2 linked regions of the Caenorhabditis elegans genome follow. The protein of the gene in region 2 interacts with the protein of the main gene of each other region in a pairwise test. Each region holds a gene or a part of one and is shown on either strand. Other genes may lie near its edges.

The links.
Region 1: the proteins of mrps-17 (region 2) and F49H12.3 interact in a two-hybrid assay, tested with the Caenorhabditis elegans proteins (one large-scale study listed by BioGRID).

Annotation. Positions count from the first base shown.
Region 1 is NC_003284.9:2,081,227-2,087,840, reverse strand, and holds F49H12.3 (Potassium channel tetramerization-type BTB domain-containing protein), read right to left. Parts: upstream 3,467-6,614; 5' UTR 3,466-3,466; coding exon 3,293-3,465; intron 3,159-3,292; coding exon 2,963-3,158; intron 2,917-2,962; coding exon 2,845-2,916; 3' UTR 2,784-2,844; downstream 1-2,783. Other genes in the region: F49H12.2 (uncharacterized protein), read right to left, coding at 1,111-1,342, 1,392-1,464, 1,513-1,611, 2,448-2,553; F49H12.4 (uncharacterized protein), read right to left, coding at 6,445-6,462.
Region 2 is NC_003281.10:6,426,695-6,433,658, forward strand, and holds mrps-17 (Small ribosomal subunit protein uS17m), read right to left. Parts: upstream 5,105-6,964; 5' UTR 5,099-5,104; coding exon 4,994-5,098; intron 4,946-4,993; coding exon 4,866-4,945; intron 4,757-4,865; coding exon 4,459-4,756; 3' UTR 4,348-4,458; downstream 1-4,347. Other genes in the region: fhip-1 (FHIP family protein C05D11.8), read right to left, coding at 1-592, 639-729; Ribonucleases P/MRP protein subunit popl-1, read right to left, coding at 949-1,037, 1,082-1,197, 1,245-1,385, 1,606-2,284, 2,334-2,482, 2,534-3,057, 3,179-3,262, 3,636-3,830 and 2 more; txdc-9 (Thioredoxin domain-containing protein 9), read left to right, coding at 5,487-5,575, 5,619-5,964, 6,093-6,284; vps-16 (Vacuolar protein sorting-associated protein 16 homolog), read left to right, coding at 6,547-6,641, 6,712-6,797, 6,850-6,964.

The DNA.
Region 1 (6,614 bases), on a different chromosome or scaffold from region 2:
TGCTGAACAGCCAGCTAGTTTCCGTTCTGAGCCCTCTAACATTTGTAGGGCAATACTTTTATTTGAAAAAAAGCAGCTCACACTTGCTTCATTCGACAGATTTTTGAAGTTTTGAGAACTTAACCGCTTCGTTATATTGGATCGAGACAAATGGGGAAAACGAAAAGGATTAAGACATCCTGGCTCTAGCTTCCTAAAAGTGCATGTTATTTTCAGTTACCTGGTGCGTGTGGAACGATGAGACTAAATCTCTCAACCTAGGGAAGTCGGTTCGATAAACATAGTTAGGGATGAGTAACGGTTTGGACGCCTTTTAACGTATAAATTGAATATGTGCTTAAATGATCGAATTTTGTAATTAAATTTTTTTTTAATCTACAAAATTTTATATGACGGTTCAAAATTTCGAAAAAAATTATCCAACTTTTTTTTTACTTTTCCGTGCCGCAGTGATTCAAAGTAGATTTGTTTTAATTATTGTCATTTTTTTTGCAAATTTTGGTAATTTACCTTATGTTGTTTTGTTGATTAAGGTATTTTTGGAAATTTTGAACCGCCATAAAAAACTTTTGAAACAATTTTGAGTCGTTTCATTAAAAAATTCGTTTATTTAAGCACATTTTGGGTCTATATGTTCAAAATCGTCCAAACCGGTACTTCTCCATTAAATTTTTATAGCCTTTAATATCAATTTTTTAAAGCAATGTTCAGAAAAAAACTGTTACTAATCTATGCACACTTTTTTACAATTTTCATATTAAAATATTTCAAATATATTATTCAGATTTCCAAGGCTTACATAATTTTTTTTATTCATTTTAGTTTGCTTTGAAAGCCAGAATACATTTCATTGTTTGAAATATTATTTCCAAGGTATAAATTTCCTCAGAAAAATTATAGTTTCTAAATTTTCACAGTTCTGCAGTTTTTCATAATACATATTTATTTTTTTAGCAAAGAATTATAAATACAAGTACTTAAATTACGCAAAAAAATTATTTTGGAAAATATAAGCAATAAAGAAGAAAACAAGTCTTTTACAAGTTACATTATGAAAACTATACATGTCGTAATATAAAGTCATGCGATTTTTCAGAAATTACCAGTAAATTATTCAACAACCAGATTGCTAGAAACTAAGAAAAAAGAACCCCCTGAAGAAGTCGGATTCAACTTTTTAGGCGGCTCTAGAAACTCATCCATAAAATGAGTGTCACTAATGGATATGGGAGTAATGTTTGATGATTTCTTTGGAGGTGGCTCTTTCTTTTCCACTTTATGTACTTTGTCATCTGGCGGTGTCTCTGGTTTCAAATCAGAAGTTGAGTGTGCATCCTCTTCACTGAAACTTTTAGTCTTGATTTTGAGTTTAAATTATTACAGTAAGATACTTAGAAATCAGGCTTTGAGTGTCCGAAGGAGTATGTATTGCTGGTGTTTCAAGTCTATTATTCTCTCTTTCATCTGCAAAAAATACATTGGGTTCTTTTTCTTTTATGACCTTTCACCCACCAATTTTCTCCAGATTTCGGTTTCGCTTCCTTAATTGGTTTTCAAATTCTCCAGGCCAAACGACTTTCGGTTTTTTTGTTGGCTCGGCGTCTACCACATCTAAAATTGAAATATATAAGTTGTAGGGCAAGAGGGTTTGTACTTTGTGACTGGAAAAATTGAACTACATTTTTTTTAAAATCAGCATTCAGTTTCATTAGGTTTATCTTACATAGATAAAGAGCAATTTTAAGCTTCAAATGATTTTTTTCGTGTTTTCTGGCTAAAACCATTGGTTCTCTTTGATTTTTCCATAATATTTGATTAGAAACATTTTTTGTCAATTTTTAAACATTTTTCCGTGAAAGTAAATTGCGGAAAGTTCAAAATTTATCTAAAATCGGCAAGTTAGTCTGAAAACATGTCAAAAATGACGTCGCTGACTTTTACGGGACTACAAATTCACTGTTTCTTTGATTTTCGTAAAATTGAAAAAAAAATCATAAAAAAGATTGACAATCTTTTAAAAGTGATATCTGACATACTAAGATTGTCATTTAGAGCAGAAAAAATTGACTCTAAGCAACATTTCAAAAAAGGATAAAAAGCTATTTTAAACCAAATTTCACGAATTGCCCCCTATTGCGAAATCGCTCGTAAATCTAGAACAAAAATTTTAATTTAGTTCTTGCAATATCTTTTTTGTAAAACAAAATCAATAAATTCTGAAAGTATAATTTAATTTTAAATCTTGAAATTTTTTTCTGAATCTATTAACTACAAAACTTAAAAAAAGGAATTGACAAAAATTTCGTCAGTTGACAAATTTACTAGTAAAGGAAAACTGGCAATTGAGATGTATGTTGTGAAAGTTGGCCCACGGTGTGCAATACTAATAGAGAAAACACGGCATTTCGTAACAATATAAAACATCCAAAATACGTGGAAAAACTAACCATGATCCAAGTATCGCTTTCTAGTCTCGTCATACTTTTCTCGATTTTTTTGTCGCTTCCGTTCTCCCTGTACCCAAACATATCGTTGAAAATCGCCAGCAAGCATTAAAAAAAAGTTTCAAAATCTTCGGGAATAGTTTCAAAAAGTGGTAGACACGTGCGTTTCTAAGGGGATTTTTTGTTTTGGATGACTTGCTAATTTTTTGGCAGGGGGCCACGTTAGCAAACATACATTGGTTGTTGAAAAAAACGGAATTTGTTACCAGATAAATAATAGTTTTGTAGAGAATTGAATACGTCAATTAGTGAAAGTAAGTAGTTAATTTTCCACAAAACCGCAAAGAAGAATTCGTTTATTCTGTAGCTTTTATCACAAAATATAGATTTATTACAGAATTTAAAAATCTTCTTCATCCTCTTCCTCTTTTTTGTCAAATCCTTGCGGGCAACTTGTGCTTTTGGCAAGCATCTGAAATTCAACAGATAATTATCATAGTTTTTAAGTATATAAATACCTCGTTTATATAGTTGGAATCATTTTTATTACTACATAGCTGAAGCATGCAGATTGCTTGATCACGTAGTTGAGGCAGAAGGAAGAAATCTGCTTCCTGTGTCAGCATTGCCAACCTGTCTGGGTCTTTTGGTAGACAGGCTTCCCAAAGCTGTCCAGCTTTCCGGAGACGAAAATAGTTGAGCACGACGCCGAATCTGAAAGAAAGTATTTAAAGATTTATTTTTTTTTTTCAACTACAATATATTATAATTTCCATCGTCCAAATTTCCAAATTACCAAATTACAATCATGAGAATAATTTTAATAAATACCTTTGTGATTCACTTACGAAAATGGGTCTCTATCGACAAAGTACGCGCCATCTCGGTCGCTTGTGAATGGGGACGCCTTTGTTCTTGACACAAACCATTTGTGGAAAATTGAGTCAACTGGGAAAGTCGTCTTCAAGGTTGCCATTGGAGTTCCTCCAACATTGAAGCGAATTATCAGTGTTTCGGACATTCTGAACGAAATTGTGTACATAAAAAATTTGGAATAATAAATTCGTAAAAGATTTAGTTCAAAGAAACAAAAGAAACATGTTAAAGTTTCTGTTCTTGGAAAAGATGTACGAAGAAAGACAATTCTCATGAAATGTTAAGCACAAAATGTCATTGGACATCTCTCAAAGGGCACCACCACTTATTCGAATTGAGCACAAAACAGAGTGGGGGCCCCTCTGCCACCCCACATTTGAGATTCATAAGCCGGTGAGAGAGAAACGAGAACGGGCGAATACATATTTGAGAGAGAAAGAAAAGGTGGTGTGAGCCAGCAGCGTACATGCAAATACGTATGAGCTCTGCGTATTACTTGCTCAAATGTGAAACGTTAATGTCAGCAATGATAAAATAATTGAAAGCTATTTTCAAACAATCACTATTCAAAAAGTTAAAGTTTAGATTTTTTTAAATTTTAAATTTTTGAACAGGTGTATTTTTTTGACGAATGTATAATAAGTGAAGAACCTTTAATATAGATTTAATTTTAAAATATGTATAATAGTTCAAATTAGTCATCATAGAACACTTGAAACAGTTTTAGATTTTTTAACATTTCCAGTCAAAGTTTTGATGACTTGCCAAATTTTCTGCGTTGTTTTAGCCGACGGCCGACTACCAAAACATATGATAAATGAAAACTAATTTCACCAACTGTTTAATTACAAAACTGAACATTTCAAAAGTTTTCCCAACAGTTTAACTGCGATATTTGGACATTTTTGAATTATAGGAGCATTTAAAACTATATTAGCATTTTAGCAATATAGGAGCACCTTTAATTATTATCTACAACACTATAAAAGCAATAATTTTTTTTTCAGTATTTCAAGTAATAGAACCTGAACACATATTATATTTCAAAAAACGGATAAAAAATTGGATGAATCCATTTTTATCTATCAAATGCTCATTTGATAAGCTTTAGATACACTCCATATTTCGCAATACTAGCACGTTTTGCACATGCACACTAGAAGAGCAGGTGGTCAAATAGCTCGGTGTATTTTCTCATTTATTATGTATTAATTTTTGGAAACAATTTTCAGGAAACAATACTGGCACAATAAGAACATTTTCACATGCAATCGTTCCCAAACAGAGACCACCGCAAAAAGAAGAGTAAAAAAAAAGGATTTGACGTATCACGGGAAATGAACTAAACTGAACTCAACTACCGCGCCATTTATTTGCTGTCAGACAATGGGAAACGAGAGGAAATGACCCAGAGGTCTTCTTTTTCAATATAAAAAATAACATGGGAAATGGAACTGCCATGTTTAGCTTGATGCTCCACCAATCTTTTGCTCGAATCAGAAAGGCTGTCTCTTTTGGGCATTGAAATTTGATACAAGAGAAATAGAAGAAAGAGTGGAAGAAACACATGTGAAGTCTAAATTCTGTGAATAAGTGCAAAATGGCTGAAGCGCGAGAATGAAATATGGTTGAAAAGAAGGAAGAATGAAAGGCCTGACTGAAGAGGCGCGCATTTCATGCCCAAATTACACCTGACCAGTTTTGTCGATTCTCTGCCCCGCTACTTTTTTTCCATGTTACTATTTTACTGCAGACATGCTATTTTAAAATCATTATTCTTTCACGATTATTAGACTAATATCGAACTTGGATTCGGCAGTTAAAACTACTGTTACTTGCATGAATTTTATAAATTGGGATATTTTTTGTAACGTGTTCTTTGAACGAGGTATGTATTACGATTTCTAGCATATGCTGAAAAATTAAAAGTTAGATAAGTTGTTTACTAAACCATGAAATCTTAGGTAGTTTTTTTTGCAAGGCAATCAAAAGCATTTTTGCTGAAGACCATTTCAAATTTACGAATTAAAAAGTTTAAGGCATTTGTTGAATTGGTGTAGCCTACCTGAAATTGACTGATATTTCAGCAAATTTTGAACTTCACCTTTCAGGTATTCGGTATTTATAAATTTTTAGAGGCATTTATGTGTTTTTAATTTTACAGAATCTATGAAAATATTGTTTTTGGAAATCAAATTTCTGGCAATCGACGATTTTGGCAATTGTTGTGGGCCTGCTTCAAAGTTACAAATTTTTTACTGCAAAACATATTTAATATATTATTTTTGCGAGATTTCAAAAACTGTAGCATCAAAATTGAAAGTAACACTGCGCGCAAAGTTTTTCTCAATTTGGTAAGTCACAAATTCAGGTTAAAAAAAAGAAACACAATTTTTCCTTGTTGAATCTCCACTGTTCGTTTATAATTTTTCGGCATGCAGAATTGAAAAAAAAATTCCGCACGTGTCTCTAAAGTCAACTGTGGTGCTGCGGTGTTTAATTCACTCATAACAAAGGTAGGGACTCCCTCGAAGAACTGTATGGCTTCATCGAATTTGTCACTAACTTTCTGTTCTTTGAAAAAATAGCTCAATAGATTCGTAAACCACCAGCGTGATTTTTTTAATATCTATAACGTTTGGAAAATACTTCAAAAAATTTTTAAAGGTTCTTCAAACTTTGCAAATATTAGTTATCGAAAATGGCGTTTCAAACTACACTAGAGAAAACTTTCACTTTATAAAAGTTAGATTTAACATACGAATTATTAGTTGTAAAACTCTTTTTTTTATCCACCTCATTTCTAATAATTTCAATTTGTTATACATTGAAATTAAGGATGAAGAATTTATTGAACAAGTCTTGAAAACCAAAAGTTCTTTATAAAATTAATATTTGGCATATTTAAAATTTTCCAAATATTTACAACATAGACCATTAACTACATAAACACAGGGAAACCAGTTCAGTAATACTATCCATCATGATAAATAATTTTTAGATCGTTAAAACATGAGATTTAAAAACGAGAAGGATAATATACAGGGAATGAGAACAAAGCTTTTTCAGGTTGAAAAAAAAACCGGTAGAAATCAGTCCATAAGAACACATTGTCTAATGAAATTTACAGCAGAACGGATTCCTGAAATTAGAAAATTAATTTTTTGGGAGGTGTAATGGTTCTGGTTTTTTGAACGTAAAGACCCAACAAGTGCTCAACTAAACAGATCTCATAATTAAATTTCCCAAAAAATTCTCATAATGGAATTGATATTTCCGGCAAATCGGCAAATC
Region 2 (6,964 bases):
AATTGATTGGAGTGGAAGAAGAAATGTAAAAGTGTTCTGTCTTCAACTAACTTTGTACAAATCTGATTCAAAAGCAAAACGAACATCTTTTCAGCTTCTGAAGTCTTTTTATTTTCAGATTTAGATACTCTCCAGTAGATATCTGCTCGTTGAAACCATTCACATAGCCGAAATAGAGGATTTAAGATTGGCTTGTGAACCAGAAGACAGTGATTTTGAGAATGCGAATCTGAAACTATCATTTCGAATATTCGAATGATAGCCAGTTGGCATATCGATTTCAAAGAATCAGTCAGTTGAATCGACCAATCCAGCACTCGTTCTAGAATTTGTTCAGTAAAGAATTTATCCAGAATCGGTCCGATAATTGGTTCAGGTTGTGAGTTGGCTTCTAACATGAGTAATGTACACATATTTGTCATATTCTCCAAAAGTGACATTAGCTCATCATAAACAACTTTGTGCTCTGGATCACTGAGCTTCCGTTCGAGAATGTTGCTAACAACGCTCCATTTTGTTTCAAATAGTTGTTCCCATACTGTCGGATCTGAAGCGTACGCTGAAGACCATCGAGCTCGGGAGACAGATGTAGCTGAAAAATTCAGGTCCATTATCAAGTTATAAAAAGTTCAACTTACGAGTACCCGAATAAAGTTCATCTCTAACCCAATCACTTGATGATTCCTGTGGTTTCAATGGTGATGTGATCTTTTCCAACCATCTTTTCATTATCTGGGATCCTAAAGTAAAGGGTTAAGAAATAATATTTCAGCACAAAATCAAATAAAAAATGGTGTGAAACCCAATAATTATCAAAATTCATAAACTAATTTTAAGCATAAAACTTTATAGGCAAGACAACAACAATAGTTTGAAAAAATCAACAAAAAGTGGGTAAAAGTGTGAAAATATCAAATAACAAAAAAATTTATTTAATTCTAACCGAATTTAGATTTTAGTCGCATTTTTAAGAATCGTCACATACGCTGGATGGTAGTATTTTGATGTAGAGTTTCTGACCATAACTACAGTTTTTGCTGAAAAATATTAATTATTCAATTTCAAGTTAAAAAAAACTTACATTTGTGATAATTCGAAGCAATAAGAGAGAGGGTATTCGCACAAATGTATCCAATACCAACACCGTGTCCAGCAAGTACACTTTGTTCTCCGGCAACCAGTCGACCAATTATCTCACTGCAATTATTACAATACGAGAATAGTAACGGAACATAAATTCATACCGATTGGCAGAAAATCTGTACTTTGTCGCCAGTTTTTGTACTTCTTCAACTTCAGCTTCTTCTTTCCGTTTTTCTTGCTCAATCTTTCTTCGTTTTTTCGACTCTCGCTTTTTTCGATTCACTCGTTTTCGTTTGGTGGTTCTGTAAAATATTGGTATTTGAACCATGTGTTTCTACAAAATTTTGCAAAAGTTGACTTTTAAACACTGGTATTTTGGCAAAATCTATCCTATTAATCGTATGATTTGAATTTAACTTTTTTATATTCAGAATTTTTAAAAACAGGTTTTACTCTGATAATGTTTATGAAAACATTGAAACGTTTTTATACTCGATAAATCTTGGTTTTTTTTAAACTCACTTATCATCCAATTTCGTAGTCTCCTCAAAAAGTAATTTCAAATTAATTGGTTTTTCAGACGCAGCTGCTTCAAGAGACATAAATCCTTGATTCTTTTTAACTGTAATTTCTTCAATTTCCATAGCTTCAACGATATCTGAATCTTGAGAAGAAGCTTCTGGAGGTGTTTGAATAATCTCTCGGTTTCGATTCTTTCGAATTGAAATCAAATCATCATCCGTTGGCAGACACACCATTCCATACTTTTTCGGTCTTCCTCTTCCAAAAAACTGAAGTTTCACTGGAATTAGCATACCAGGTTCTTGAAATTCTTCGAGTCCCGATCCTTTCTTCATAGCTTCTTCGATAATCCGTAATTTTTGAAGATCTCGGCATACAAAAGCTTCACTTCTAGGTTTATTGGATAAGTTCCAGTCCTGAGAAAGCTCATCCCATTTAAATTCAAATGGATACTTCACTGATACAGCACTCCAATGCTTGCATCTTCTATTATGAGGCTTTCCAAGATACTTTTCAATTAGTTCTTTTTTCATCGCCAATTCAGATTCTCGTCCAGCTTCTGAGCCAACATCGTCTAGAGGATAATAAAGAGCTTTAGATTCCAAATGTGCTGCATACTCATCACGAAGTCCACTTGCACGGACACCTCGTCGTTGAAGTGATACCCAGAAGTCTTTTGCTGAAAAAAAATAAATCTTCAAAATTGTTAGTTTTTCTCAAAACTATACCAAAAGGTTCTGGAATCAGAATATCTGCACCGTCTAGTGCTTTTAATCCTTCATTTCGAATGATCAGAATGATTGGAACCTTCGCTTCAGTTGAAATGACTCCGTTGATTTTTGAAGAATTCTGCTTGTGGAATTCAGAATCTGCCATTCTAAATTTGAATAATTGAATTACTGAAATTCCACTTTTTTTAAAATCATACCTTTTCTCGATCGCCATTTCTCTAAATTCTTTATTCCAAAATTTGCTTACTCGAATCCTCTCATTATCAGCTTCTTTGTTCACTTTTTTGTGTTTCAGAACTGTTTTCCTATCCCAAGTTGTTCTCGGGTCTTCGATGAGCAAGTTGATAACTTCTCCATCTCGACTTGATTGAAAAACGGAATCCGATACAGATAAGAAATAATTGTGTTCTGAACTGAACTTTTCGTCATTAACAAATCGAATCGAGTCGCGAAGTTTCGAAAGACACTTTGGACCGGATAAATGAAATCGGCAAATGTTTTCTGCATCGATTGAAACTTTAATTTCAGAATTTTTATAAAGATCTTCTTCTGTATTCTCTTGTTTCTCAAGATTATAGTACTCAAGAAGTGCTTTCATGAATTGCAGTTTGCTTGATGGATGAATCCATATATGAACTTTGTCACCAGAGAGTCGTTGGAATCTTGCAGGTCCAATATATCCAAATGGGTATTTTCCTGGCATGTAGAGTTGGTGACATTCCTGGAAAGATAATGCGTTAATCATGAAAATAGATTTATGCGCAACAGAAAACGATAAAGAAGTGCTAACAGCTGATAGAAAATGACGAGGAACCGGTTCATCTCTCCCTCTCAATGATTACCTCTTCTTCATCGCGTGATGACTGCCCTCGACATCCTTTTTGTGAGAACTGGGAGATTTTTGAATAAGCATCGGTGCATTGAATCTGAAAATTTAGATTTTGAATAGTAAGCATTTTAGATTTTGAATAGTAAGCATACTAAAAGTGGAAAAATAAAATCCGAATTCGGACTATTTCAAACAAAGATGTCATCTGATTTTATGGAAAATGGAAGTATCGGAAACATTTCAATTTTTACCAAATTTTGTTTACTGTTGATAAAAAATGAAAAAAAGTCTTAAAAAAGAAAAGAAAAATGAGGAAAATTTAAAGCTATATTTCGAAAAATCGAAATTTTTATTGGAAATATAGGGAAAACGAAAATGTTAGATTTTTTTCTAAATTTTATGTTAAATGTTAAGAGGAAAAAAATCTAGACGTCTAAATACTTAATGTTTTCTTTGGTTTCAATACTTACAGTAACACATGTATAATATGATCTATCTCGAATCACACAATTCTTGTTAGAATCTCTTAAAACTGCTCGAAATCCACGTTGAAAGCTGCGATCCGCGAGTTTGAAACCCCATTTTTGAATCATTCGAAATCTTTTCGCATGCCAAACATGTGTCGAGAGCCAGATACCTTTTGTACTGGTGCTTCTGCCAAATTTCTGGAAAAAAACGAGCAATTTAGTATTTAGTTAATTTGGGTTCTTACTGTTCGAGAATTTGCACTTTTTCGTCTCGCAAACCGACTTGGACACTTTTTAGCATGTTTTGAAATTAAATGTGCTGCTGCAAACTCTCTCATTGTTCTTGGAAATCGACGAATATCGTATGCCATCGCTCTTCTTCTCATGTGACGTGGCAATCTTTGAGCAGCAGTTCTTGGACCTTTTGTGACTTCACCAGACACAAGGGCGTCATTGTCAATAGCCTGAAAATTAAATTTGGAAGAATTGAAGATTATAGTTGTAAAAATTACCTTTAGTAGCTGTGCAATGGAATTTGTTCGAGCTTCCACGAACTTTTCGACTTCTATAAACATAGGTTTCTCAACCACCGGACGTGAGATGTCCATCTTGAATTTGAATTTACTTGTAGTTATAAAATTATAAAAAATAATTTGGAAAAATATACAAGGATCAAGTCAACCTTGAAGTATAAAGTTTTAAAAATAAAATTTAAAGAAACATTTCATTTTTGAATGTAAATATCGACAAACAATAAACAACAACGAACTAACTATTCCCAAAAAGTAAAAACAGATCAAACGTCTAAATTCAGAACATTCAAAAACTACACATTTGCCTCTTTTTCCTGTTCTAATCTTCTGATCTGTAGGGCTCTTCTCTCTTCAAATAGCATTGATTCTTCTTCTAATGGTTTATCCACAACTTCTTCCACTAAAACCTTCTTCAAATCAATCTCATCGGCGAATGTGTCGTTGAATATTTTGCGTCCTGTGACTGGATCGACAATGTTTCCGAATTTAAACACTACACGGTCAACAGCATGAGAGACGTTGGCCTTTGGGCGGGAAGAACCATCGATCTGCTTGATGAGCACTGTATCTCCGATGTTTCCAAGTGATGTTCTAAAATGTTTTCAATTTTGAAATGTAATTCTCACATTGATAAATTCAGTTCAGAGAAAATGCAGTAATTCTAAAACAGGTATTTTAAACAACTTATTTTTAAACTCACTTGTCGAGAGCCCAGAAGTCGAACGATCGGGCGAAATATTTCTTCAGATAGATGTTGAATTCGTTCATCTGACATCTTACCTAAAATAATACAATACACTTCGAAAAGTCTTCAAGAATTGAACCAACTTGAGCACATGGAATTCTATCAATTCCAATTTGAGTGATGTCGGTGATTTTACCCATCAAAATTTGCGTTCCAACGCGCGTTTTCCACACAGAGGTCTTCGGCATCTGAAACACAATAAATAATAGAAGAATTAAATCAAAATAATTATTTTTAAATACAAACTGAACCGAAAAAACTGAAAATTAAGAATAAAATTTAATTAAAATTGTTGCCAAGTGTGTGTGCATTCTGACGTGATGGTGTTTGCACAGTTTCGTGCAAGCATACAAGTGTGCTCTACTGAACAGCTAGAAATAATTGTTTGGAATAAATTCATGGAATTTCCAAACATTCTCGTAGCTTCTCATTATCGATTTTTATGGTCCTTCAGGCATAAAAAGGGTGTAATTAGAATTCCAGGTGGTCATATGCCTCTTATTCCGCTCTTATTATGCCGTCTTCCCTTTCCAATTTCCTAAATTTTGAATTTAATTCTGTTAAATTTTTCAGAAAATGGCCGCTAATATTCAACAGCAGTTTGGGGAGCAGCTTTTACGAGCAGCTCAAGTTGTCGAGGAACAGATCGACCAGGAGATGAATAAGTAATTTTGAAATGTAGAAACTGTTTGTCATGTGTGTTTTTAGACTTGAGAACCTAGAAGAAGACGATCTTGAGGTAATTCGTCGTCAACGGATGGAACAAATGAAGAAAGCTCAAAAAGACAGAATTGAGATGTTGTCTCATGGGCACGGAAAATACGAGGAAGTTGCTGACGAGAAGGAGTTCTTCGAAGCTACAAAGAAAAGCGATAAAGTTGTCTGTCTTTTCTACTTACCTGGAAACTTCCGATGCAAAATTGTGGATAAGCATTTCGAGATCTTGGCTAGAAAGCATGTTGGAACACGATTCATACATGTCAACGCCGAGAAGGTTCATTTCCTGACAACTCGTCTCAATATTCGTGTCATTCCAAGCATCGCTATCGTCGTGGTAAGTTTGAATGTGGTTCCTGCTATAGTATTTTTTTTTCTGAAGTTGTATAATTCAAATCTGACTAGTTTCATAGAGTTTTGTTGGCATCTGTACCAGATTATTTAGTTAAAAAAAAATAAATTTAGAAGCAACAAACCGTCGATTACATTCGTGGATTTGATGAATTGGGAGGAAAAGATGAGTTTACCACCGAGACCATGGAAAACCGATTGGCTCGATCTGAAGTATTGACTGTCGAGAAGAAGCATACAGCTCCTGCAAAAAAGAAAATCATTAGATCAGGAGTTGAGGAGTACGATAACGAAGAGGATTGGTAGATGCCATCTTAAGATGATTTTTTCTTGTTTTCATATTCTCATTTGCTGATAATTATGTGCATTTTGATCTCACATAATTTCCCATTTTTTCGCTTTCCTCCTCCCGTGTTTGCTGTTTTATCTACCTTTTTCACAATTTCGTAATCGCAAATAAAGAGCATATTATCCTTTGAAAAATGAAAAATAGCCGTTCGGTTAATATCCAGAATTATTTTTAATGTAAAATAAGTATTTTAGATATTAAGATAATGTATTTCCAGAAATGGGGGAGTCTCATGCTCCATCAAAACCAAAACTAGATGGAGAGTTGTGTCTTCGTCCGAGTAGTTCAGTGTTTTTGGGAGATCAACAGCTGTAGTAAGTTTAAATTTTTCGGCATTACACGGGCTTCCCAAACTTCGAAACTTTTCGAACACTTCGGTTTCAGTTTCACACAAGAGTATCTACGAACAAACTCGTTAAATCTCAAATATGTCGTTTACTTTACGGCTTGCCAATTCTCAGGTCCAATCGGTAATTTTTTCTTACTATTAAATTTTAAATACAAAACGTATCAAATTTTCAGCTGTCGCATATTCTCCTCGTCCAGCTTCCTGGTACATTTGGATCAGAACCATCAGTGGAAGAATTTTGAAGCGAGACATGGCATTCAATGAACCAGTTTTTATGGAATGGACTCG